Caenorhabditis elegans: one gene and its partners. The protein of the gene in region 4 interacts with the protein of the main gene of each other region in a pairwise test. Each region holds a gene or a part of one and is shown on either strand. Other genes may lie near its edges. The genes, in order: tbx-9, memi-2, dmd-8 and ceh-8.

What was found.
Region 1: the proteins of ceh-8 (region 4) and tbx-9 interact in a two-hybrid assay, tested with the Caenorhabditis elegans proteins (one large-scale study listed by BioGRID).
Region 2: the proteins of ceh-8 (region 4) and memi-2 interact in a two-hybrid assay, tested with the Caenorhabditis elegans proteins (one large-scale study listed by BioGRID).
Region 3: the proteins of ceh-8 (region 4) and dmd-8 interact in a two-hybrid assay, tested with the Caenorhabditis elegans proteins (one large-scale study listed by BioGRID).

What each region holds. Positions count from the first base shown.
Region 1 is NC_003281.10:10,338,745-10,343,985, forward strand, and holds tbx-9 (T-box transcription factor tbx-9), read right to left. Parts: upstream 3,115-5,241; 5' UTR 3,108-3,114; coding exon 2,815-3,107; intron 2,390-2,814; coding exon 2,314-2,389; intron 2,257-2,313; coding exon 2,104-2,256; intron 1,678-2,103; coding exon 1,321-1,677; 3' UTR 1,262-1,320; downstream 1-1,261. Other genes in the region: ttr-15 (Transthyretin-like protein 15), read left to right, coding at 259-506. UniProt on the Caenorhabditis elegans protein: Transcription factor. Involved in the control of early morphogenesis of the intestine, hypodermis and body-wall muscle. Involved in regulating expression of vab-7. Appears to have partially redundant function to tbx-8.
Region 2 is NC_003282.8:13,397,762-13,402,546, forward strand, and holds memi-2 (MEiosis-to-MItosis transition associated), read right to left. Parts: upstream 2,746-4,785; 5' UTR 2,745-2,745; coding exon 2,265-2,744; intron 2,216-2,264; coding exon 2,033-2,215; intron 1,990-2,032; coding exon 1,798-1,989; intron 1,748-1,797; coding exon 1,565-1,747; 3' UTR 1,307-1,564; downstream 1-1,306. Other genes in the region: cyp-31A5 (CYtochrome P450 family), read left to right, coding at 3,545-3,637, 3,684-4,087, 4,135-4,231, 4,283-4,377.
Region 3 is NC_003283.11:333,282-338,444, forward strand, and holds dmd-8 (DM domain-containing protein), read right to left. Parts: upstream 3,170-5,163; 5' UTR 3,158-3,169; coding exon 3,022-3,157; intron 2,866-3,021; coding exon 2,693-2,865; intron 2,644-2,692; coding exon 2,125-2,643; intron 1,854-2,124; coding exon 1,572-1,853; 3' UTR 1,320-1,571; downstream 1-1,319.
Region 4 is NC_003279.8:8,244,456-8,253,450, forward strand, and holds ceh-8 (Homeobox protein ceh-8), read right to left. Parts: upstream 6,494-8,995; 5' UTR 6,442-6,493; coding exon 6,390-6,441; intron 5,596-6,389; exon of another isoform or gene 5,562-5,595; coding exon of another isoform or gene 5,516-5,561; intron 5,156-5,515; coding exon 4,893-5,155; intron 2,600-4,892; coding exon 2,502-2,599; intron 2,454-2,501; coding exon 2,325-2,453; intron 2,270-2,324; coding exon 2,161-2,269; intron 1,580-2,160; coding exon 1,400-1,579; 3' UTR 1,050-1,399; downstream 1-1,049. Other genes in the region: col-63 (Nematode cuticle collagen N-terminal domain-containing protein), read right to left, coding at 1-377, 427-493.

The DNA of each region.
Region 1 (5,241 bases), on a different chromosome or scaffold from region 4:
ATTTCTGGCAATTTTTTCCTGTACCGTGTCAATTATTTGAAACTCTAATAAGCTGGTATTTTTCTGCTATTGACAACTAACTGAATCCATAATTTGCAATTATAATATTGACTTTTGATGTGTGGCTTAGAAAAAAAAAACCAAAAACCTCATCTAGCTTTAGGCTGCCAATATATTCCTAGGACATATAAAAAACCCTTAAAATTCTCTGCAACACCTACAAGCTATCAAACGTACTATTAGTATTCAATTTTCCAGTCGACCCCGATGACAAGCTCGCCTCAATGCAATCGAACAAAGAAGGAGAGTTCTCACTTACCGGATCCGACGACGAGATCACCTCAATCTCTCCATACCTCATAATCACCCACAACTGCAACGTGAAGAAGGCCGGATGCAAGCGTGTTTCAGAGTATTTGATTCCAAAGGAGAAGATCGGTGGAACCTATGATATGACATACGTCACTCTTGATATTCTTTCCGCTAAAGACAAGGAGAAGTGCTAAGAAAATGTTTTTTTTGTTTGTTTGCTTGTTTGGAAGGGAAGGACTTTCTATCTCTTTTAATTCAACAATAAACTATTGGAAAACCTTGAAATTTTAACCTTGAACTGTAAGAAAAGTTGCGTGATTATGTTGACAATTTTGCCAAGTATATCTTTGTGGATATCACAATAAACGAAGTCAAAGCACGAAATATTACGGAAACACAAAATTAATGAGAATGCGCAACATATTTGACCGCAAAATATCTCGTAGCGAAAACTACAGTAATTCTTCAAAAGACTACTGTAGCGCTTGTGTCGATTTACGAGCTCGATTTTTGAAATGAATCAGACTAGAAGAAAAGGAGGAAAATATTGAACATCAATTGAACATCAATTCAAAAAGTCGAACCCTTGACTACAGTAGTCTTCTAAAGAATTACTGTAGTTTTCGCTACGAGATATTTTGCGCGTCAAATATGTTGCGCAATACGCATCCTCAGAATTGTGTGTTCTCGTAATGTCTTGAAAATTTTCCATTTCAACATCAAATAAGCAAATCTAAAAATGTGGGTTCTGCAGCGACCACTATGACTGTGATCGTGGCAAGACCCACTCAGAAAACTACGTGTTCCTTTAAACAATACATTTTTAAGTATTGTAGGTATAAAAATTGTTGGCTAGCAGTCTAGGCTGCCTTTTTCAGTCGACAAACTTCTAATTTAATCGGCGGGTCTTCAAAAAGTCGTTTCTTTGAAAATATAAAGCTTTATATATTTATATATTAAAAATTTTGATTACATGATATCAAAAGCGACCAGTTTGCATAAAAATTATCAACCAACAATATCAATATCTTCTTCTACCTCCTGATCCTCCTCCTTCACAATGCTCAGCTCACTGCTCGAGCTGGAAGGAGTCGACGGGAGAGGCGAGAGAAATGGAAAAGCGAATGGAAATTGGACTGGAAGATTTTCAGATAACATATGGGGAAAATAAAAAAGAAATGGGTTGATTGGAGGCATCGACTGAAGAGGTGCGACCTCCGGTGGTGATCTGGATTTTGGCGATGGGGACTGTGAGTTGCTGCCGTCGGAATATGATGGTGATCTTCTCTTGCGACTCAAGTTCCCGTCACGGAAACCTTTGGCAAAACTGTTGTGCTTGATTTTCAAGTCGGTGATTTTTTGGTTCTGAAATGAGGAAAAATTAGGTTTATTATTCAACTCTCTCTATCTTTGAAAACAAAGAATCTATTAAGAAATTGTTAAACACCATATTATGGATCACAAAGCGAGCAATATTTTTGTAGTTGACAACTTTTATATAGCTCTTTTTATTGGCGAGGTAGGAGTGCTTAAAGTAGCGCAGTTTCAAATTTATAAATAGAGCCAAATTTTGAGCAAGTGTAACTCTCCTTCTTTTAACTCTATTAAAAACTTGTCAACTAACTAATTAATCTTTACAACTAGGGTTACAAATTATTAGTTAACGACTTCTTGATAAGTATGATGGTTGACAAGACTTCCCCCTTCCTTCCCAGATTTCCCATTGTTCACAAAATATTGATTCTTCCGAGATAAGATCCATGCGCTAATACTCTTACTCTCAATACTAACCTGGTAAGCCGTTACTGCAATAAACTCGGTATGAGGGAATTTGGCGGTGGCGACGATTTGGTTTGAGGATTGTGGGACGCAGAAAGGGCTCTCCGATGGAGACTCGTAGATTGTCAGCACTGGAATGTACTTGTGCATGCTGTTGAGGTAAATCTGAAATTTCAATTTTAAATTGGAAATTGCCAAGTAATTTTAAAGTTGAAATCCTACCATTGAAGCGTTGTTGGACTCTGAATAGTTGGAGATTTTCACACGATCAAAGCAAATCGAACTCCACATCCAGTCACTGAAATTAATTGGGGTTACTTTGAAGATATAAATTTAGCAAATTTAGAATTATTTTCATCTGAATTATGTTGTCAGTTGACAAACGACAAACTTTGAAAACTTTAATGTTAGATGAGATGTAACCCTCAAAATATTCCAAAGGCATTTGAATGCCAGTGTCGGCAGCTCTAACTCTTCAATGGCTCAAGCTAGAAAAAAGTTGTCAACTGGCAAATTGTAGATGATAAATCAGTTAACAATTTTCCAGTTAACATCTTTTTTAAAACTTCCAAGCCCGCTGAGATATGGCGCTTTGAAGTTGTAATACCAGGGCGGAGCTAAAAAAAGTTGCCAATTGACAAAATGGTTCTCACTATTTTGATAATCATGTCAGTTTACAAATCTTCATAGCTTCTAATCTTCCAATTCCTATGTCACACTCACCTTCCCTTCCGAACTCCATCAGCATGCCACATCTTCTTCGCGTCGACCTGCTTCTCAGCTTTGCCCGTTTCCTGCCACTTTCCACCGCTGAACTTGAATCGACTTTCTCCAACTGGTTGTAATTGGAGCATTATTGCATACAGCTTGTTTTCATCAAGCCCTTCGACTATATATTCCAACTTTGGGAACAACTTTCGGCCGTTCTTCGTGACAATCATCTCGTTGACTTCTGCGTGGAATATCTTCCAGAGAGTTTCTTGGGATCCTTCGATTGATACTTTGACTTTGGACATTTTTTGTCTGAAAACGTTAAAATATATTATGAAAACGAACAGCAAAAAAAAAGTTGGAAAATGGTATAAGATATAATGTTATATTCTCACCGGTTTGGCAGCTACACTTGCTTAGAGTGTGGTACCAGTGAGAAGGAGGAGCGGGAAAACTATTCTAACTTAAAAACGGTGGTATCTAGCAAAAAGTTGTTAACTAACAAAGCAACAATGATAAAATTTGCAATATTTTGTTAGTTGACAACTATTTGGTATCTCTTGCCAGTTTTGAGATAACGTCTGAGATATCCCCGCCGTTCAAAAATAAGAAAACAAAAAAATAGAAAAATAAGAAACACGATAAGATAGAGATGTCATCACAAAAAAATGGTGATTTAAGACAAAGAAGTGAGAAATTGTGCACATCTTCACCCCATCTCACCTCATTGCCAAACCACACCCCTCTGCAAGGGCGGGCAGGTTGTGCGCGTGGCCCTCTCGGCTATCGATTCTGGGAAGACTTGGCGGCTGACTGGTAGATCAAAAGAGTTGGGTATACTTTCAAAACAAAATTGGGAGATCAAATTCTGATGTGGCATAGAAATAGAGAAGACGGTCCGAAAATGTTGGTTTTATGTAAACTTCAAAAAATGTTCAAAATTTAAAGATGATACAACTTCCTTATTAATTAAAGAATTATGCTATGTATACCATGCTTATCGACAGTATGGATTTTGTATATTTTTACTTTGAGATCACTTTTCTCAAGAAAGAATGACAGTAAAAATTAATGTAAACTGAATTTTTTTGTACCATATAAAAACCGAAATTTGAAAAAAATAACTTTATTTAATGTTTCAAAATAAAGATTTTACCATTTTACATTTTCATACCTTCCACAATTACCCATTATTCCATCTTCAAACCCTCCTTCTATTTCCAGATAATATACCATTTCCAAGTATACCCCTTTTTTGTCGGTTACCTCCAAAAGAGCATACGTTGTAAAATTTTTGAGCCGGTTAGTTGTAGTGGGCTCTTTTGATAGAACACCGACAGTATTGACTGGAGGTGTAAAAATTGGTAGCTGAAGGAAAATGGATAAAAGAAAACATTGGTTAACGGATCAAAATTATTTTGCATTTTTAGACATAAAGTGATATTAAAAATTCGAATTTCATAACGAATGTTCTAAAACATTGCTCAAAAATATTAGGAAAAACTCTCCAAATTTTGCAGATCCATTAAAATTTCTGAGCAATTTTTGAGCAAACCTTTTAAGTCTATAAGTCAGGATAATTTTGATATATTCGTCTTCCCAAAAGCTATCAAAAAGATGTCAACTTTCAAAAAAAAACTCAATTTTTTTCCGGGGTCTAACTTTTTTGTGGATGCAGCTATCAAAAATTTGTCAACTAACTGATTGTTCATAATTTCCAGAGCTATATTTTGTCAGTTGGCAACTATTCGGTAAACTCGAAGCTTTTCGAGATAATCGTTTCCCAAATTGTTATCTGAACCCAAATTTCTCCGACCCCATTAGCCCCATTTTCCTAGAAAATAAGACTGATCTCCAAAACACCAAAAAAAAAGCTGTAAAACTTTACTCTTCCCAAAACTCTCCGAGTCGGTGTTTTTACGGGGGGTACCTCTAAATCAGGTGGTCGATAAACATCGTGGCGGATTTATAACCTCCACAATTGTTAGTTGGCGTCAATGGATATACAGGTGATAAGGTTTACAATCACTGATTAGTTGTTCTGAATTTTTTTTTCCCAGGAACACAAAAATTGAGGTTTCCTGCTTTTAAAATGTTTTTAAAAACACTAAAACACTTGTTCAAAAAATTTAAAAATCACATTCCTTCCCTAACAAAATAAAATTTTAAATTTATTAATTCAATTCCATACCTATTAATTAAATGTATATCCTCCTCCACAGGTGCGAACTCCTCGTTGTACGCGTGTCTGCCACGTGGCGGCGAGAACAAAGTGCTGACATTCATTGTTTTGTCTAATTTTGCTGAAAATATCATGTGCAGCTATTTTGGTGTCTATGTCAAACAAAGAAAGTAAGATATGTATCTGTGTTCTCACCTAGAATTGTTTCTTGCTAGAAAGAAATTTTGAGTGGAAATAAAAAATTTCAAATAAAAGTT
Region 2 (4,785 bases), on a different chromosome or scaffold from region 4:
GGCAAATTGGCAAACCGGCAAATTTCCGGAAAATCGGGAAATTGCCGGAATTGAAACGTTCCGGCAAATTGGGAAACCGGCAAATTTTCGGCAAATTGGCAAATTGCAGGAATTGAAAAGCTCCGGAAAATTTTCAAAATTCTGGCAAATCGGCAACTTGAAAAACTCCGGCAAATTGCCGGAATTGAAAAGTTCCGTCAAATTGCCGGAAACAAAGAGTTCCGGCAAATTGGCAAACCGGCAAATTTCCGGAAAATCGGGAAATTGCCGGAATTGAAACGTTCCGGCAAATTGGGAAACCGGCAAATTTTCGGCAAATTGGCAAATTGCAGGAATTGAAAAGCTCCGGAAAATTTTCAAAATTCTGGCAAATCGGCAACTTGAAAAACTCCGGCAAATTGCCGGAATTGAAAAGTTCCGTCAAATTGCCGGAAACAAAGAGTTCCGGCAAATTGGCAAACCGGCAAATTTCCGGAAAATCGGGAAATTGCCGGAATTGAAACGTTCCGGCAAATTGGGAAACCGGCAAATTTTCGGCAAATTGGCAAATTGCAGGAATTGAAAAGCTCCGGAAAATTTTCAAAATTCTGGCAAATCGGCAACTTGAAAAACTCCGGCAAATTTCCGGCAAATCGGAAATTTGTCGGGATTGAAAAGCTCCGTCAAATTGGCAAACAGGCAATTTTTAAGCAAATCGGCAAATTGCCGGAATTTAAAAGTTCCGGGAAATTGGCAAACCGGCGAATTTCCGGATAATCGGGAAACTGCCGGAATTGAATAGTTCTGGCAAATTGGCAAAACGGCAAAATTCCGGCAAACTGCAGGAATTGAAAAGCTTTGGCAAATTGGCAAACCGGAAAAATTCCGGAAAATTGCCGGGATTGAAAAGTTCCGAAAAATTGGAAAACCGGCAAATTTCCGGCAAATTGGCAAACCGGCAAACCATTTTTAAAACTCACAAGTACGCATAAATGAGCCAATGAGCCAATTCAATCATCGTCGGCCAGCCAACACAGAGCACAGATTATATGCCGAAACGGCAAATTTTGTGAGAAATGGAAATCTTTAGCCTCGCGATGACATTTCAGAGGCAGCAGCTGTTATTTGGAGCCCCGCACGTGGTGAGAGTGAGAACTCGAACAAAATTTAGAGAGGAGGAAAAGTTGTTGGAAAACGATCAAAGGTGAGTGTGGAGAAACGGATATGAGTAACCGGAAGAAGTTGTTTTTTGGAGTAAAGTAAAAAGAAGTTGTTTTTTGGAGTAAAGTAATTTAAATTCCAAATATTATAAAGACAACTACTGAATGTAATATATAATTCATCTCATCGTTAAAAAGATTGCAAAATCAACCAGTTCATATTCTGGCAATGTTAATTCAAGCAATATACATGTTAAACATAAGCAAAATAGTTTGGGGCAGCGGAGAATCTATATACAGGAAACGACCAAAACAAAAAAGGAAAATAAAATAAAGGGGAAAGTTAGTTGATATATTCAACAAGAACCACTGATACAATAATACAGAATTATGTACATTACAAATTATAGGACATATGTCTGGAGTTACTCGTCCTCTTCATCCAGTTTGAATGTCTCGAGGAACGTGATCAGGTCCTCGACTGGCACAATTCCCTTTCCCAGCGGGATCATGTCCTTTTCGATCTCAAATTCGTGGATTTCGACTGGATCTTCGACAATCAGCACACGTCGGTTCTTGCACTTCACTGTTTGCTCCAATTCGATGTACTGAAAATTTCATAAATTGAAAATCGAGATTTTATTGCTGCTCAACTCACTCTACTTCTCCCTGAAGTATTCCTGGCGTTCGAGTTGTTATTGTACACGATCCTCGTTTCCACGTGGCGCTTTCCTCGGATAGAACACGTGATTGATGCAGTCGAGGCCATCAGTCGGCCTTGTGAATCGAGTCCTGGCTCGAGATTTCCGTATTCCCGGCAGTTTGTGGTTCGCAGGTGACGAGTGGTAGTCTGAAAAAGTTATTGGCATGAAACAGAAAACTGTTTCTCGTACTCTGCCCTGTGATCGGTTCAACGTTGCCACCACAAAGCTGTCTGTCATCTGGAATCCTTCGTTTTCCATCTCCAGTTGTTCGAGCATAGCAAACAATAGATGGAATGGCATTTCAGTCGTTGCCTGGATCGCGAATCGAACCACATTTTGACCCGTCTCTTTCGGCTCGGCCAGGAAGGAAGTCTGAGATTAAATTTAATTCTTTCAGGAAAAATATTCTCAAGAAATTAACCAGAATCAAACTGGAGATATCCTCGACCAACAGCATGCGGCACTGAGCGGCGAAATAGTGTGGTCGCTGATTGGGATGAAGGAGCACGTGCTCGACAAGCGCTTTCTCCGATTCTCTGGTCGTGTTGAACCATCTTTGCGAGAAGAAGTCGTAGCGCTTGAGACGAAGACTTTCAATCGGCATTGTTTGAATGCTTCTGAGCACTTTGACAGCTTCATCGCGGATGACTGTCTTGCTCGGCTTCTTGTCGACGAGCTTTGGAGTCTCATCGATACGATGCAGGGAACGGTAGTTCTGATCGTCGACGAGCTCCACGTCTTCTCCATGCCCTTCGATAATTACATCATGATTGATGTTGGGTTGTGGTGGGAGGGCAGAGCAACCGGCTCGAGCGGTTTCCAGGTGATCTTCTTCGTTGTAGTTGACCACGTATCTGGTCGCTGTCAATTCGCGAAGAACGGTGCGAGATGGAGCTGACATTCTGAAAAATTTTGGTGTAAAAAATTAATGGAAAAGAAGAAAACAATGTGCTCAAGTGATTTGCAGATTAAGAATAATTTACCGATAAAGCTATGAAAAAGATTCATTAAATCTCTCTGAGCATCAGCTTAATACATCAGCAAAGAAGAAGAATTCACACGATCAAAAAATTTTGTTGGGCCTAAAATAATGAAATTGTTGCGCTGATTTTTCGCGGGGAGATCATTCATAAAAATTACAATATTCATTCAAAAATAAATACTTTTGGATTTGTTTTATTCACTTTTTTTAATGAAAAATTAACAGTGATTGGAACTTTTTAATAATTAAATCAAGATTTAAATATCAGAAAACAACAAAAATTCGTTCGAGAACTTTCTCAAGCCTACCGTACTCTTTAAAGGCGGCGCCTGAAGATTTTCACATGGCTATCACCACGACGCAAGTTAAATTTGACTTTTTACTTATAATTCGTTCTTTTTATTGCGATTTTTTAATATTTTCAGCATCGAAAAAATTTAACAAACGTTTTTCTTATTTTTAAAACGCTTTTGATGCTTTGTGCTCGTCTTAAAAAAAGCTGAAACGAATAATTCTCAAAAAAATTCGTCTTTTCTGGGTTACCGTACTCTTTAAAGGCGCATAACAATTTTCACATAGGTCTCGACAAAGCGTGGGAGAAATTTGAATTTTCAATCAAAAAACGTTTGTTTTGTTGCGATTTTCAGGCTTTTCCTCGAGTTTTCAACGCTTTTTGCTCGTTTTTTTCGCTCAAATAAATTATTTCAGAAGATTCTACAATGGGGGTTATCATCCCCGCTGTACTTCTCGCTTCGGCGACGGTGATTGCTTGGCTTATCTACAAACACTTGAGAATGCGTCAAGTTTTGAAGGTTTGATTGCAAAATTCATTTAAAGATAAATTGAATAAACTTTCAGCACCTCAACCAACCACGATCATACCCAATCGTCGGTCACGGACTCATCACAAAGCCCGATCCAGAGGGATTCATGAATCAAGTGATTGGAATGGGATATTTGTATCCAGATCCACGGATGTGTCTTCTCTGGATTGGTCCATTCCCATGTCTTATGCTCTACTCTGCCGATCTTGTTGAACCTATTTTCTCTTCCACGAAACATCTGAACAAAGGGTTCGCATACGTTTTGCTTGAGCCATGGCTTGGAATCAGTATTTTGACGAGCCAAAAGGAACAATGGCGTCCAAAGCGAAAACTATTGACACCAACCTTCCATTATGATATTCTCAAGGATTTCTTGCCGATTTTTAACGAGCAATCGAAGATTTTGATTCAGAAATTGTGTTGCCTCGGTGTAGCAGAGTGAGAATTTTAATTCTTACATAACTCTTTCGAACGTTTTATTTCAGTGAAGAAGTTGATGTTCTCTCCGTCATCACCCTTTGCACTCTTGACATCATCTGCGAAACTTCCATGGGAAAAGCTATCGGTGCTCAACTCGCGGAGGTTCGGGAAATTCTTCCATCTATTTAAATTTCTAAATGTTTTTTTTTTCAGAATAACGAGTATGTATGGGCGGTGCACACAATTAATAAGCTGATTTCAAAGCGAACAAATAATCCGTTGATGTGGAATTCATTTATTTACAATTTGTACGGTATTTAGTTTTAAAATTTTAAATTTATCATTAAAGATGATGTAGTCGAATTTTTTTTTGCTTTATTAGACTCAAAATTGTCTGAAAACTTCTCAAAAAAAATTATGACGGCTCAAAAAATGACCTAAAATTAATTAAAATTTGAAATTTGACCGAATTGTCAAGCGGCTGGAAACTAATTTTTTCGGGTATATAAGTTAATTATCTCGGGGTTTCACCTTCATTTAGGTATTTTAAAGTCGATGGACGGCGAGATTAGGTAAAAAAATTTAAAAATCTCGCCGTCCATCGACTTTAAAATACCTAAATCGAGTTGTAAACCCAAGATAATTAAATTGTATACCCAAAATTAGACGGTGATTTCGTAAAAAAATTTGTTTCAAGCCGGTCAAATCTCAAATTT
Region 3 (5,163 bases), on a different chromosome or scaffold from region 4:
TTAAAATATAAATATTTTTTGAAAATTTAAAAATAAGTCAAAAATAAATATTTTGAGCATCCGTCTATCTTTTTTATACCTAATTTTAAAACCGTGACAATAATGTCAATTTGTCCGGAAAAAATTGACATTTTCCAAAATTTTGATAGGAAAAAACCCGCATTTTGTGTGAAAAATTCCATAATCAACAATTTTCGATAAGGATACATAGAGAAGAAGGGAAATTTTATAACACCAAAAAACAAATTTGCAGAACCTGAGCATTTGGCGTGCTAGCCTAAGATTGCCTACTGCCACCACACCCTGAAGGCGCGTAGGTAGGCAGGCACGCAGGCATGATGTCGTGGCGAGCACCGAACAATAAAAAACCAAAGTAAATCCAATTAAAGTTACTCAAACGTAATTTATTTTATACTACCTGACTTCCTCACGTCATCTCAAAAATCACAAGCTCTATGTGATTCTCAAAACCGGCATTCCATTTTTCTTTTACGAAGACGATACTAAAAACATTTTTTATTGATAAAGCTGATAAGAAACTTATGAAATCACTAGTACCGGCTCGAGTCGTTAACAAGAACATTTTCTCGGGTGACTCAGGATTCAGGTTGGGCACTGAAACATTGATAAGCAATAGAATTTGATATGACGTCTCGAGGGCACGATCGTGACATGACTTCTTTCTTTATTTGTGATTTGTGAAGACAACGAGAACTTCTAGGAAGCAGCCGACACTTTACAGTTCGCTTTTTATAAGAGATTTTTTGAAGAGATACAAAAAAACAGGTCATGTTAACCGAAACAAAATTTCTAATTTTTTAAAGATTTATTTTAAATTTTTCAAAAATTGAAAAAAATCTGATTGTGAGATTTCACTGGTAAATGAATTTTTCGGCCATTTTTTTCAAATTTTCAACCATTGTCATTAAAGGAAACTTGACAGGCCGAAAGGAATTGGGTGAAACTCTAAAACTGGCCTGAACTTAACATTAATTTTTTTGCTGTAAAATGCATGCAAATTTGACAGATCACGTCTCAAATAAAAAATCAAAAAAAGTGAAACTGCTCAATTTAGCCGGAAAGCTTATTTTTGGAATAGCAAAATTTGAAAAAAAATTACAAAAAATTCTACAAAATATATATTTGAATTTTAACATTTAGTTTTTTTTTAATATATGGGATTGCTTCCTGACGTTTTATGCAAAAAAGGCCGTGAAATTTCTAAATCCAAGCTTAATTCCAGATATGGTGGCTGAAAATTCGGAAAATTCTCTGTAAAAACCGTGACTTTATAATTCAATTTCTAGTCGAGTCATAAATTGATAAGAGTACAATTTTATTAATTTATCACTTTTGCAGAATCAAAAAAAAGTTTTTGGAAATATAAAACACAAAAACATCAAAATATTATTATCATCATGTTTGAACTGAAAACCCGCACAGCTTAAAATTTCGATGGGGTTTTTACTCTTTTTGAGGTGCAACTGGGAAGGAACTAGAGTTTTACAGGGAAAAGACAATAAATCACAGATTGGAAATTGTTTTTTTTTTTGAAAAATTAAAAAGAAAAATCAATCGGTTTCAGCGCAGCTAATTGCAGCGCTAAGCTCACGGATATTCTGAAAATTTTGAAAGTTCTGGAACAACATTTGCATTCCGATAGGGGTCATCAGGAGAGGATTCGGGAAAAGAGTTGGAGCAGCTCCGTACATAAGCGGAGCCGTGAAAAATGGTGAGGCCGCGGTGGACATGAGAGAGGGTACGGTAAGAAATGAAAGCGGTAGGCTTGATGGAGCAAGTTGTGGAAGAGCAATTGGTGAATGCGGAAGGAGAAGCGGCATTGGAGATGTTGTCTGAAAAAAATTTAATTTAGAAATTTTAGAAATTCTGGAAAAAACCTTTTAGAGCAGTTTTTAGGACGAGACTAGTGCATGCCTACATGCCTACATACCTACATGCCTACATGCCTACATGCCTACATGCCTACATGCCTACATGCCTACATGCCTACATGCCTACAGGTTTACATACATACATGCCTACATGCCTACATGCCTACATGCCCACATGCCTTTTCAGGTTCAAGCTGTACCTGAAAAAATTTTCAGAAAATCTGAACCTCACCTCAAATGGAGAACCAGCCGGACTAGTGCTTGCATTTGCCGAAGTCGCTGCAGGAATCATAAATCCCCCGGCACTGAAGTCGAATTTCATCTGAACCTGCGGAGCCATGTTCAACTTCTCTGATAGCATTCCAGATAGCGAGCAATCCGAGGATGAAGCCGACTCGTCCGAATTGCAGCCCGAAGAAGATGAGAGTGACGATGATGAAGCCGTGGTGGAGCCCTCTTTTTTGGGACTTTTCGGTGCGATAGCTTCAACCGTGTTGCCCTTTATGCTCATTTTTCGCTTCTTAATATGCCGGTCCAGGGCACGACGGGAATCAATCAAGTTACACTGTTGGCATTCGCAGCTGGAATATTGGCACTCCTTTTTGTGATTTTTCTTCCAGACGAGCACATTGTGATTCTTGCATTTTTGGCAGAAATAGCACATGTTCATGTTCTCCATGACAGCTTTTTCATCTGCCTCCCCACCTGTGAAGCCTGGGAACACGTTGGCCTCGCTGATATCATTGGTACGCTGAAACACGGGGATAGTTAGGAAAATTAGGAAAAAAATCACAAGGTACCTGGAACTTCTTGTCTTGCTCTCGTCGGAGACGAATCTGAGTTGACATGATCTCCCGTCGCTTACGGACCAAGTCACACTGCTCACACTCGCAACTTCTATATTCGCAGGTGTGCCCGCGCGTCTCTACGAAAACTCCATGCTGCTTGCACATTCCACAGTGCCGTTTCACATCTGAAAATTTAACAAAAAATAAAACTATGTTAGGCGTAGGCCATACTAATTTCTGAAAAAAAATCAGCAGCCGACAGTTAACCAACCATACATTTTTCTACTGACCCTTTCTCGTGAAACCAATTAACTGTCGGCTGCTAAGAAGCTATAGCTCACCTTTCGGGATCCTTTTCCCTTGGCTGAAAAATCTCTGTGCTCCAACATCCGGGGAGAGGCTGTTGTTTGGTGAAAGCCCTTCTGGAGCACTGAGCGATGAGGCATTTGAAGAAGATGACAGGGAAGATGAGGACATGATCAGGTAAGTCTGAAATTTTCCATTTTTCAAGAGTTGGAAAAGTTGAAGCACAAAATGAAATTGTGAGGGCTACAAGATAAGGGATGCTTGAGCTTGATGACCTGATTGGCTGAAATTTTATAGACACTGCGTCAATGGAATATTTACAGTACTTTCAGTCACTTGTCTGAAAAAAAATCTTGTGACATGTTTTACTAGTCGCCTGATAAGGCCCTGGGGGCTATATAGACGATGCTTTCAGAGAAATTTTCAGGGAAAGCATAAGCAAAACAGGAAGTTGTAGAGGCTTGGGCGCGTGACCGAAGTTTTTCTAGTTTTCTTCGGCCACCAAAAATTTCCCTTATCTACAGTAACCTAGCTCCCCTTGGAGCAAAAAAGCTATCGAAATGAATTCACAAATGAAATGGAATCGAAATAAATAAATAAAATTTCATCCGCCTTTCCCATCTTCAATCCAGGAATGAAAGATTTTCTGTATCTGCCGGCTCCGCCTCTTTCTTGAATATCCCTGATTGCTGTCTAACCATGTCTAACGTCTCCGCCATCCCTCCCCACTCATTCGAGAAAATTCGCCGTAAACATTCTATTTTGGCTCTGCGGAGCTATGACGGAATTCTCATGTCGATGGGGGAAATTACGTAGATTCGCAGTTTGCGTAGATAAGGAGGGGCAATCCGGTCGGGGTTTTACGCGGATCAGTATGGAGCAACTGAGCAGTTGGACTAAAAGCCGATTTATTTCATTTTGTTCACAAAAAGGTGGTGCTCATCTCGTTTTGAAAACACTCGAATTTTTTAAAACTTGAAAAACTTGCTGGCCGACGCCTATGACATATGCCTATGACCTCCACCTATGGCCAACGCCTATGGCCTACGCCTACTGCCTACGCCTATGACCCACGCCTACTGCCTACGCCTATGACCTACACTTATGGCTAATGGCCTACGCCTATGGTCTACGCCTACGAAACCTTGGAAAATTCAAAGTTGAGCAAGCTGAAAATCATTGCAAAATGTTTCATAACAACCACAAAAAAACACTAAAACTAAAAAGATTTTCAGAAGTTTCAACAAATCGGATGACAAATTGTGTCGAAAATCAATCGCTCAGAGTGGTTTCAAATTTTGTGTGGAAAATATAAGAAAATCTGTAGCGGATTTTGACGATTGCTAATCTTTTTCTCGCATTGCTTAGCCCTTGTGTTTGAATTATTAGGCGATTTAAATCCATTTCTGTGATTGCCTTTATCATGCTTTTTTTGTTTTGAATGATTTTTTTTCTTTTTCTAAATAATGGAATAATTTTTTAAAATGTTTTTTCTAAACAATGAAATTCGATCTAAATTTGAAAAGGAGCCTGGCAAGCAAGCCCGAAAGCCTCGTTCACCGACTCCAATGCACCAAATTTTACACGCAAGGTTAAAAAAAAATTCTGTACCGTCCTCGATCACTGTCGGCTGCACAAAAAAAACATTTTTTCCAGTAAAAAAAATGTTTAAAAAAACTATACTAAAACATGTAGGAACTAGTTGTTTTATACTAGTTTATGCTCATTTGGGAAATGCTCATTTCTGATCGACAAGTTTTGTTTTTTTGCCACCGTCTAGACGCTCTACCGTAATCTTTGAAGAATTCTTGCTCCCACCGGGGAAATCTATATTTTGTCACGTGGAATAGGGGTAATAGGAAAACATAGAATGCAACAAGATTTCTTGGAGGTAGGTAGAAAGCCTGAAAAAAATCAACCCATAAGAAAAATTCTTGGAAAAAATTAATGAAGTTACATTTTTTTATTTTCCAAAAAAAACCTGCACTCCTAAAAATAACCATACCTAGTGACATTGGTTTTGACACCAATAACGTCAAAATTCAATCTGCTTATCATTTTTGATAGCTCCAAGCCACGTTGTTCGAAAGTACCTGGATAAGCACCGGCTTGACTCGGTCAAGTCAAATTTTTGCGTCACTGGATAAGATGGTTCAAAATGCGATGCTGGCCAATGC
Region 4 (8,995 bases):
CTTCACATCCTTATTGAAGTCAGCCATACGATCCCCTTCAGTTGAGTCACTTCCTGGATTTCCAGCTCTTCCAGCTGGTCCATCATCTCCTGGGGTTCCAGGATTTCCTGGTGGTCCTGGTGGTCCAGCTGGACAATCCTTTGGTTGTGGTCCACAATTGCAACCAGAAGAACCGGATGCAGATCCAGCAACTCCAGCATCTCCATATCCTCTTCTGAATCTTTTAAGGAAGGTCTCGAATGGTTGAACAGCATCTTCACGTGGAACCATTGTAGTCCAAGCATCTTCAGCAAGAGTTTTGAATTCAGCAAGATCCTCATATACTCCTGATTGGAAGGAATTAATGTCGTGAAGGACAAACAGTGCGGCAAAAATAGCTGAAAATTGAGACATTTCGTGAGCAGAATGACTTAAAAATGAATTTACCTGGAACAATAGCAACTCCGCAGAGTGCAACGGCAGTACCAGCAACCAATTGTCCAGATGTTGTCATCGTTGGATGATGTCTATTCGTAAAAATCGTTGCCATTATATACGTATCCAAAAAGCTCAAAAAAAGTAGATCTGCGTGTTGCATAATAGCCAGTTTTTCGCTTGGAAAGGATCCCCTATCCGTCTACTTTTTTCTCAATTTTTCGGCGATACACCTTCCCTTTATCGAGTGTTATTTCACATAGCAATAACCGATGGGTGTATGTGGCTTAGAATTTCAAGAAATTAATGATTTTTCTTCTTGTGGTTTGAATATTATTTGTTATATTTGTATTTTAACCATTCAGAGTTTTCATAACTTTCATGAAGGTAAATGTACGTTTCGACGAACTGTAATGCTACAATCTTCTTCCCTTGCATAACATGACAAGCTCATCATGTTTTAGAAAATTATTTCTGAAAACTCATTGGTGGCGATGCTCCAATTGTAAGAACAAACTGATACAGATAATCTGGCTGAATCATGAGAAAATACTTCAGAAACTTCTTGCTCTTCGATTTATCTGTAACTTTTCAGCAAAACAATAAAACATAGCTCTAATCTTTGTTAAATTAACTTCTCTGAATTCATACTCAATCTTTAATTAATTTAGTTGCAGTGACCTCAGCGTCCAATTCATAATCATTGTTTCTAAGACGGCACTTCCTAGAACAGTTTCATCACCGGTCTGCAATAAATGAGACAGCCGGCTGCTAGACGATAGTTGCTGCGGCCTCCGACATATCACGGGTTTCGCGCGCCACTCTAAAATGTGTTAGGTGTGCGCCGCCCCCTTGGAAACTTCTGTTTATTGTGCCGAAGGAAGATTGAAGAAATGGGGGATATTTGAAGAAAAAATCATAAAATCAGTAGATTAAAAAAAAACATGAGTAAAATCTAACATTCGTAATAGTTTTCCATATAAAATCAACAATTTTCCTGACTATGAGTAAGTTGTGGTGGCTCAAAGTGAATTGGATAGGGGAATGGCATTGGATATTGATTAAATGCATTGGAAAATGATTGATTTGGAATATAATAAGGGATAAATGGTGGATGATATTCCGAAATGAATGGACTACTTGTCGATGGTGTTTGAGGCGATTCCTGGAATTTTTACGCGTTCAATTTGAAAAATTCATGGTCAATTTTATACACATTCAGTAATTTTACAGAAAAATAAACATTAAGCTTATTCAGACGCGAAAATTCGATATTTTTAAGCCAAAAATACGGTACTTGGTGTCGGCGCGTCGCTTTTTTGTTAAATATATACATGTGTGTGCCTTTAAGGAGTACTGTAATATCAAACTATCGTTTCTGTAGCATTTTAATTAAATTTTCATCCTTTTTCATTAATAATTTTTTAATTAAAAACTATTACGGGAACAATAAATCATGAGAATGCGTACTTGGTGCATTTTATTTGACGCGCGATATCTCTTAGCGTCAAATAAAATGCACCGAGTACGCATTCTCATGATTTATTGTTCCCGTAATAACAAGTCGTAAGAATGATTTTTCGAATGAAAAATCCACGAATATTCCGCAACAACGAAAGCTTTAAATTACAGTACTCTTAAAGGCGTACAGCCGTTTTCTTGAATTTTTAAAAAAATATTTTTTCTTCACTGAATTTCCTTCACTTTCTAGGCGAGTCGTAAGCTTTTTATTTACTAGAAACATACTTTTTTCATTGATTTCTTATCACTGTCTTCGAAATTCAAATGAAAAACGTTTCCAGTTTTGCTGACGTGCGTGTTGTCCGCCGGAGTCCCATATTCAGCGAATGGAAACCTGAAAACCAATTTATATTGATTTTAATCTAGAAATTAAACTTTTTTAAACAAACCCATAAACTTCTTTTCCCTCGGAAGTCTTGAAGAATTCATCGGAAATTCCATTGTTATGAGTTGATGAAAGTGTATTTGCTGGAGGAAGCATTGGCGGTGTATCTGTCTTATTCTCACTCATCCATGACCTAAATGTGATAACTCTATTAGACGGGCATTTATCATAAGAAGCGAACCAAGATGGCATTGTATCTTTCAGTGAATGCTTCTCCTCTCCTTGACAATCCTGCTTCTCTTGACGGCGAAATTTAGCTCGGCGGTTTTGGAACCATACCTGAAACAGAAGAAAGTAAAACATTTAGAATTGAATAGGACATTTACAGAAAAGTCAGAACATAAAAGTTACCTAACGTTTATAACAATTGACCCAATTTTTTAAAATATAATATTCGTTTCTGATTTTGCGATGATTTTTTGTTGTTTTTCAAATAAGTATAACTCGAAAACTACAGTAGCTCGCAAAAAGATTTTAACTAAACAAATGTTTCCCATAATTTTTTCTACAATTTTTTTTGTTGACAAAATTTTACCATCTGCACTCTGGAAGAAATTACAGTGGAAAAAAATCACGTCCAGGTGGGAGGTTTGAGAGTTTCGTTTTTTCAAGCTTCAAAAATTCTAACGTAAACTTCCCGACCATTGCCAATTCTTTATAAAAATATTTTCTAGGCGACTTACATACTTACGCAACATTTATGATAAGTTTGTTACACCATCCATTAGTTGCACCATCCATTAGAAAACCAAAGGCTTCAATTTTCAAAACTTAAATTTCAAATGTAGATTTTGAATATCTGATTTAAAATAAAGTTCCTCCCCAATTTATTATTTTCCCATTCGACTTCTCCGCCACTATTTCCCTCATCTACCGTATACCAATTAGTAAGTTGTCAATCTCTATGCTCCCTTTGCCCCATCTTGTCCATTAAAGTGCCATGTTTTTACTTTCTTCTCTTGTTCCTCCTAACATCTTTCTTTATCCACCACCTACAGTAATCCCATCAAGAATGTGTAAACTGTCTTGATGAACGCTCGCTCTTTTTACGGGAAACTCAGTCCGCCGGAAAATTACACCAAGTATACCGAATTAGAAATAAAGGAAAAACCAACAGAAATCCGATTTTTTATTTCTCAAAGTTACTCAAAAAGCTCCGATTGTTTGACTGAAAATATTGAAAAATCTAATGATTTTCATGTGTTTTATAGATCATTATATCTTATAGAGAATATACGTTAAATGAATTGTCTAAAAATATTTTTTCGGAGCATTGTCAAATTTCATAATATAAATTGTTAATCTATAACCACCCCCCCCCCCCCCCCAATTTACAAATAGAACTTCATTTTCATTTTTTCAAAGTCCATCGTAATGTACTTCTTCACTCCCCAGCATCCATATTTTTCCTTGTATGACAACAATGTGTCGAGACTCGGCGAGGTAATCCTTAAATTGGTAGGATGTAAGTGACGGAAAAGAAAAAGAAATTTGAGAAGACAATGTCGATTAGTCAGATGCTTATCTTCTTCTTCTTCTTCTACTGTTTATTGTTTGTCCCCCTTTTGACTCAAAAATCAGAAGAGCATAAGGAAGTGTGACAGGAGTGCTAACCTGCCAATTTAACACTACTAATTGTTCCGGATGAGATCAGTTTTCACAGCTGCATGGAAAAAGGACAAGTAGGGTCATGGACAAGAGCAAATAGTTCGAATTTTAATTGTCATGAGCTCTCGAGTGGAGTTATATTCATAATTATATTAAAGAATGAAAATATGTGAATTCACTTTTGTGCCATGTATATGTTAATCTTTTACTACGCTGGATAAATTTTTTCGTAAACTAAAAAAAATTCGAAATTGAACATTACCGTATCCAAATTTGAAAATGTTTTAATTACCAAATCGCAGAGTATTTCAAATTTTCTGTTAATTTTGAGAATTACAAAAAATATCAAATTTGACAATATAAATTGTTAATCTCTATAACCCCCCCCCCCCCCCCATTTATTAGATAGCAATTCAAATTCTCGCTTTTCGAATAAAGTCGAATCTCCAAAAAAACAACAAGAGCTTCCACTGCAGTCATTTTCATATTGAACAACACTGGCTAGTCGACCGTGAATTTTCAGTTTTACTCTTGTGAATAATATATACTATTTAAAAAAAAAAAATAAGTTTTATTTCAGCAAAAAGTTAAAGCAAAAGATGTTCTAAAACAAAGAGGCACTATTGTAAAAATAATAAGTTCTTGGTGACCCGTAAATTTTCAGATTCAAGGAAACCTCCGTTTTTTTGCGATTTACCAGAACTGATTCATATGTTACAATATAATTTTTTAAAATTTCATATTGAAGACGGAATGCCAAAATATTCTCAAAATGGAAATTTTAGATTTGCCAAAATAGTCAGTCTAGTTTTGGTACATTGCAAAAAAATTGTGTTGGTTATTCTGGTAAACTTAAAAAATTGATATGTGAAAACTGATTAAATTCTGTTTTTAATTTAACAGTAAATAATAAAATTTCAATATTTTTCGCTGCTCTACTCTCAGATAAAAAATATGTTCTCACCTGAACTCGAACCTCTGGCAATTGAACTTTAGCAGCCAATGTTTCTCTTGCATAAACATCTGGATAATGAGTTTTATCAAATGCAGCTTCAAGAGCATGAAGTTGAAATGTCGTGAATGTTGTACGATTTCTACGTTGCTTCTTGTCTGCTATCTTATCTCGATTCTTTCGTGATGATGATGATTTTGATGGAGAAGAATCAGATTCAAATGAAGAAAATGAGTCGGATGGTTTGTATGTTGTAAATGAGGAAAACGCCGAAACTGAAAAAAAAAATGAGATGAGTTTAGGAAAAAGTTGAATAATTGCTTTCGAGAAACATTTGATTTCTGAAATTTACGATGGCTTATTGTATGAATGGTTTAATTTCGAATAAAAGGGTTTATGTGCTTTTTTACGGAAGAATTTTCTCTAGAAACGGATAATCGCATTTTCAATGTCAGTTTTTTAATCCGCAACGACGAGGAGTTGGGAACTACAGTACTGAAAACTGCCAGAAAATCCGGTACGATTGCCGGAAATTTTGGGCTTAAATCGGTCGTATCGAGACCGTGTACCGCATTCTTCTGGCAAAATTTAGAATCTGGGTGATATTTATTCTGATAAGTAATAAGAATCGTTACCATCAGTCCAAAATCCAGGATAATAAAATCCCTTTGGAATGTTCATTAAAGAAATAAATACCTAATATGTTTTTAATTCAGATTTGTTGTTTAGAAATGTAAAATGAGAATGCGTATTTTGGCGCATATCTCACCTGATAGCCTTGGAAAAGAAACGTATGCTTTTCACATGACTTTTCTTCCAGCAGCTTCTCGAGGTCATTTGGGGATTACTCATTTTATTAGAGAACTTTTGTTAGCGTTGGTAGGTTGTGTTGACAAGACTTCATATCAGTTAAAGTTTACTATTTTGATTGAAAAACTTGGAGTATTTTATAGTATTTTAGTTTAAGAAATTTGAGAGCGAGAAAGAAAATTAGATTTGATTGATCTAGCTTGAGATGCTGATAATACTTTAAAAGTATCAGTTCAAACATGCATCCCTGAAAAGTGAAAAAAAAGTGAAAACGTAACCTTTAAGCTCGTGTTTTGCAATGTGGCGTTAAGGTTCTACTGCATGATGTATTAAAATTTCAAGAAAAATGCTTGTTGGGAACCCCGACGGACAAAGTTTTAATACTCTTTCACAGTTAAATTCGAATCTAGATTTCTCATTAACATTTCTCATTAATCTAAAAAACAGAGATTTTGATTTTTTTTTAAATTTTGAAATTAAATCAAACGTTCTTGAACATATCCGACAAATCAAGCATATGAATAATCTCCAATTTTCAAACGAAAAAAAAACAACTAAAATTCCATTCAATTAGAGGGGGTGGAGGTGGAGCCCCAAAAAAGCTCGCAAATCGAATTTGGAAATAATTTGGATATAATTTGACAAAATAGGTGAATTGAATTACCAAATTTGTAGAGACTTCAAACATCAAAAACTCACAATTTGGTGTTATCGATGACGTGGCAGAGTTGTTGTCAGTTGGATTGCTCATCCCGGATGACAGGACAGGAAAAATTGAGGGCAGCAGGGTGGCAGAATATATTGGGGAGGAGATTGACTCCAGTTTTCTAGGGGGGAATATTTTGGAGCGAGGGGAGGAGCCATCCAATAAAAGAAATCTAAAGAAGAACTGTGTGATGGGAAGCAGCAAAGGGAACAAGCTGGAATATCGGGAGGAAACCATAAATTGTCATCATAAAATTTATATTTCGTGCTCCTTCCTCAATCAGGTCGCATGCTTTATGTTCAAGGGAATTCAATGCTTAAATAAATACAGTATGCGTTTTGGCACATGTTCAGCATATCGGGAAAAACGTTTCTAGCTGGTTAAGTGTCTTTTGAAGTAGGGATTTATCAAAAATTGGTCAAATTGCAAACCATAAAAGTTTTTCTACATTAAATAAGTTGCTATGCTTGCAACATTTTATACTAAACAGCTTACAACCTACGTGATATTTTTTCCCAATTGTAATAAAACACAGCGTCTCTTAGAGGCATTTATGTAACCGTACAACACCTTTTGCTCAGTTGAAAAATGTCCCGTAGGCCAAATGTATATATATATATATATATATAGGGTGCGCCAAAAGTATGGTAACACGTGAAGCGCTCTTTTAAATGGGTTTTTTCGCGCGACTGCCACTTCACACGTACAATTTTCTATAGAATACTGATAGCTGAATAAATTTCCTTCAATTTGACCTAAAATTTGTAATGTTTCCCAATAAGGTGCAATCTTTATCGCCTCGGCAATTTGACGATCCCTGTCGCCGAAACGGTGTTTTGGCACGCGGCACCTCCAACACAAACGCACCTCCGACGGACGCCAATAATTTTCAGATGTATGATTTTCATGTTAAATCCAAAGTTTAAAAAGTTAAGAAGCGTTTTTGATTGTTTTCGTAGCATATAAAAATTTTATGTGTCGACACTGGCGCCTAGCAAGAACCTTTGAATATTTCATGAAATCAACTTTGCGAAATTTACTCAGTTTTTTTTTGTCTTCACAAGGTGTAACGACTCACAAAATCATCCGAGCTCAATCTTCTATAAAAATTCTTGAAAGTCAGATCAAAACGTGTCGAAAAGTACTAAAATTAATTTTCTTGGATACTGCTGCCGCCGCCCACATCCACCTTTCTGGCGACTGTATCATTCAAGGCGTCTTTGTCATTCAAAGTACTGCCACAGTCATACCATGACAGAACTTTTTTGGATTTTTGTTTTTTAGGAATCTCTAGACCAAGAGCATTCTTTGAACTATAAAAACTTGTAAGACACTTGTGGATTCCTCGAGAAAAAGTGTAGAAATCCCGCAGAGTGCCTACTTGCGTGCCAAAAAATTGAGATCTCAAAAGTTCTGAGGTCCTGCAGCGATGCGGATGGGGATATTTTGAAAATTCAAAACGTTAATCGCACCCTGTATATATAATCCATCATATAGATCAATTTTCATGTAACCTATCGTATCGAATTAGCAGCTAAGCAACTAAGCCTAAGGACCTAGGTCTGGTGACCATGCTTTACTTCGGTTTTTTAAAGTATTCATCTTTGTTCTTTTTAATATTGTATCGTATATTTTTTTAATTTTTAACTTACACATAGACTGCGATGCGTTCTTGAAGGGATATTCTGTGCTTGATTGGAAGAAGAGTTATTACAGTATCTAACACTGTCCACGAATTCCAGAAATTAATTTTTTGCCTTATTTTATCATCTTTTTAAGTACTTCTTGTTTTAAAATATTAGATTGCTGGCCTCGATCTCCATCGGGTTGTTGCAAAAACCTCGTATCTCTGAACTCGTGACTTTTACATTTGTTTATCATAAACTCCGAAACCTACCTTCCGTATACTCCCTGGATAATTAAAACCCCACCAAATATCACTATAGATGCATTACTTTCATAATTTTCACACATGATCTCGACGATAATGTGGTCAAGCTACACAAAAACATTTCGATTGGGTTAGTTATTTAGTGGGACCGTTATCTTTGTTGCGTTTACGGAACGAAAATACGGTACCCGGTCTCGACACGATCGAACAATTTTAAATTAAAACGATTGTGCGCCTTTAAGGTGTACAGTAGTTTTCCCACTTCGCTATTTCCCAATTTTTAGATTTTTCTCGTTTTCTATTTCAAAACGTCTAACTTCTGTTATTCACATTAAATAGCAAGTGTTTAAATTTTAAAAAAAAGTCGAAGAAAAGTACTGTACACTTTAAAGGCGCACACTCTTTTTCATTTAAAATAATTCGGTCGTGTCGAGATCATTTATTTCACAGAGATATGAAAAATATTGCTTCGGGGAGCCAATTATGAAATTGAATGGGAGAATCAAAGTGAAAGTATGAACACAACAAGAAATTCAATTGAAGTGAAAATGGATTACTGTAAATTATTGAAATATCGTGTGAATTTGTAATTTTCTTGAATTTTTGTTTCTCATTGATTCAACAGTTTTAAGGTCGACAACGCGTATTTACTGATAAAAGCCTTGCTACCCAATGATCGCGTGTAAATTTTATGAATAAGACTTAAAT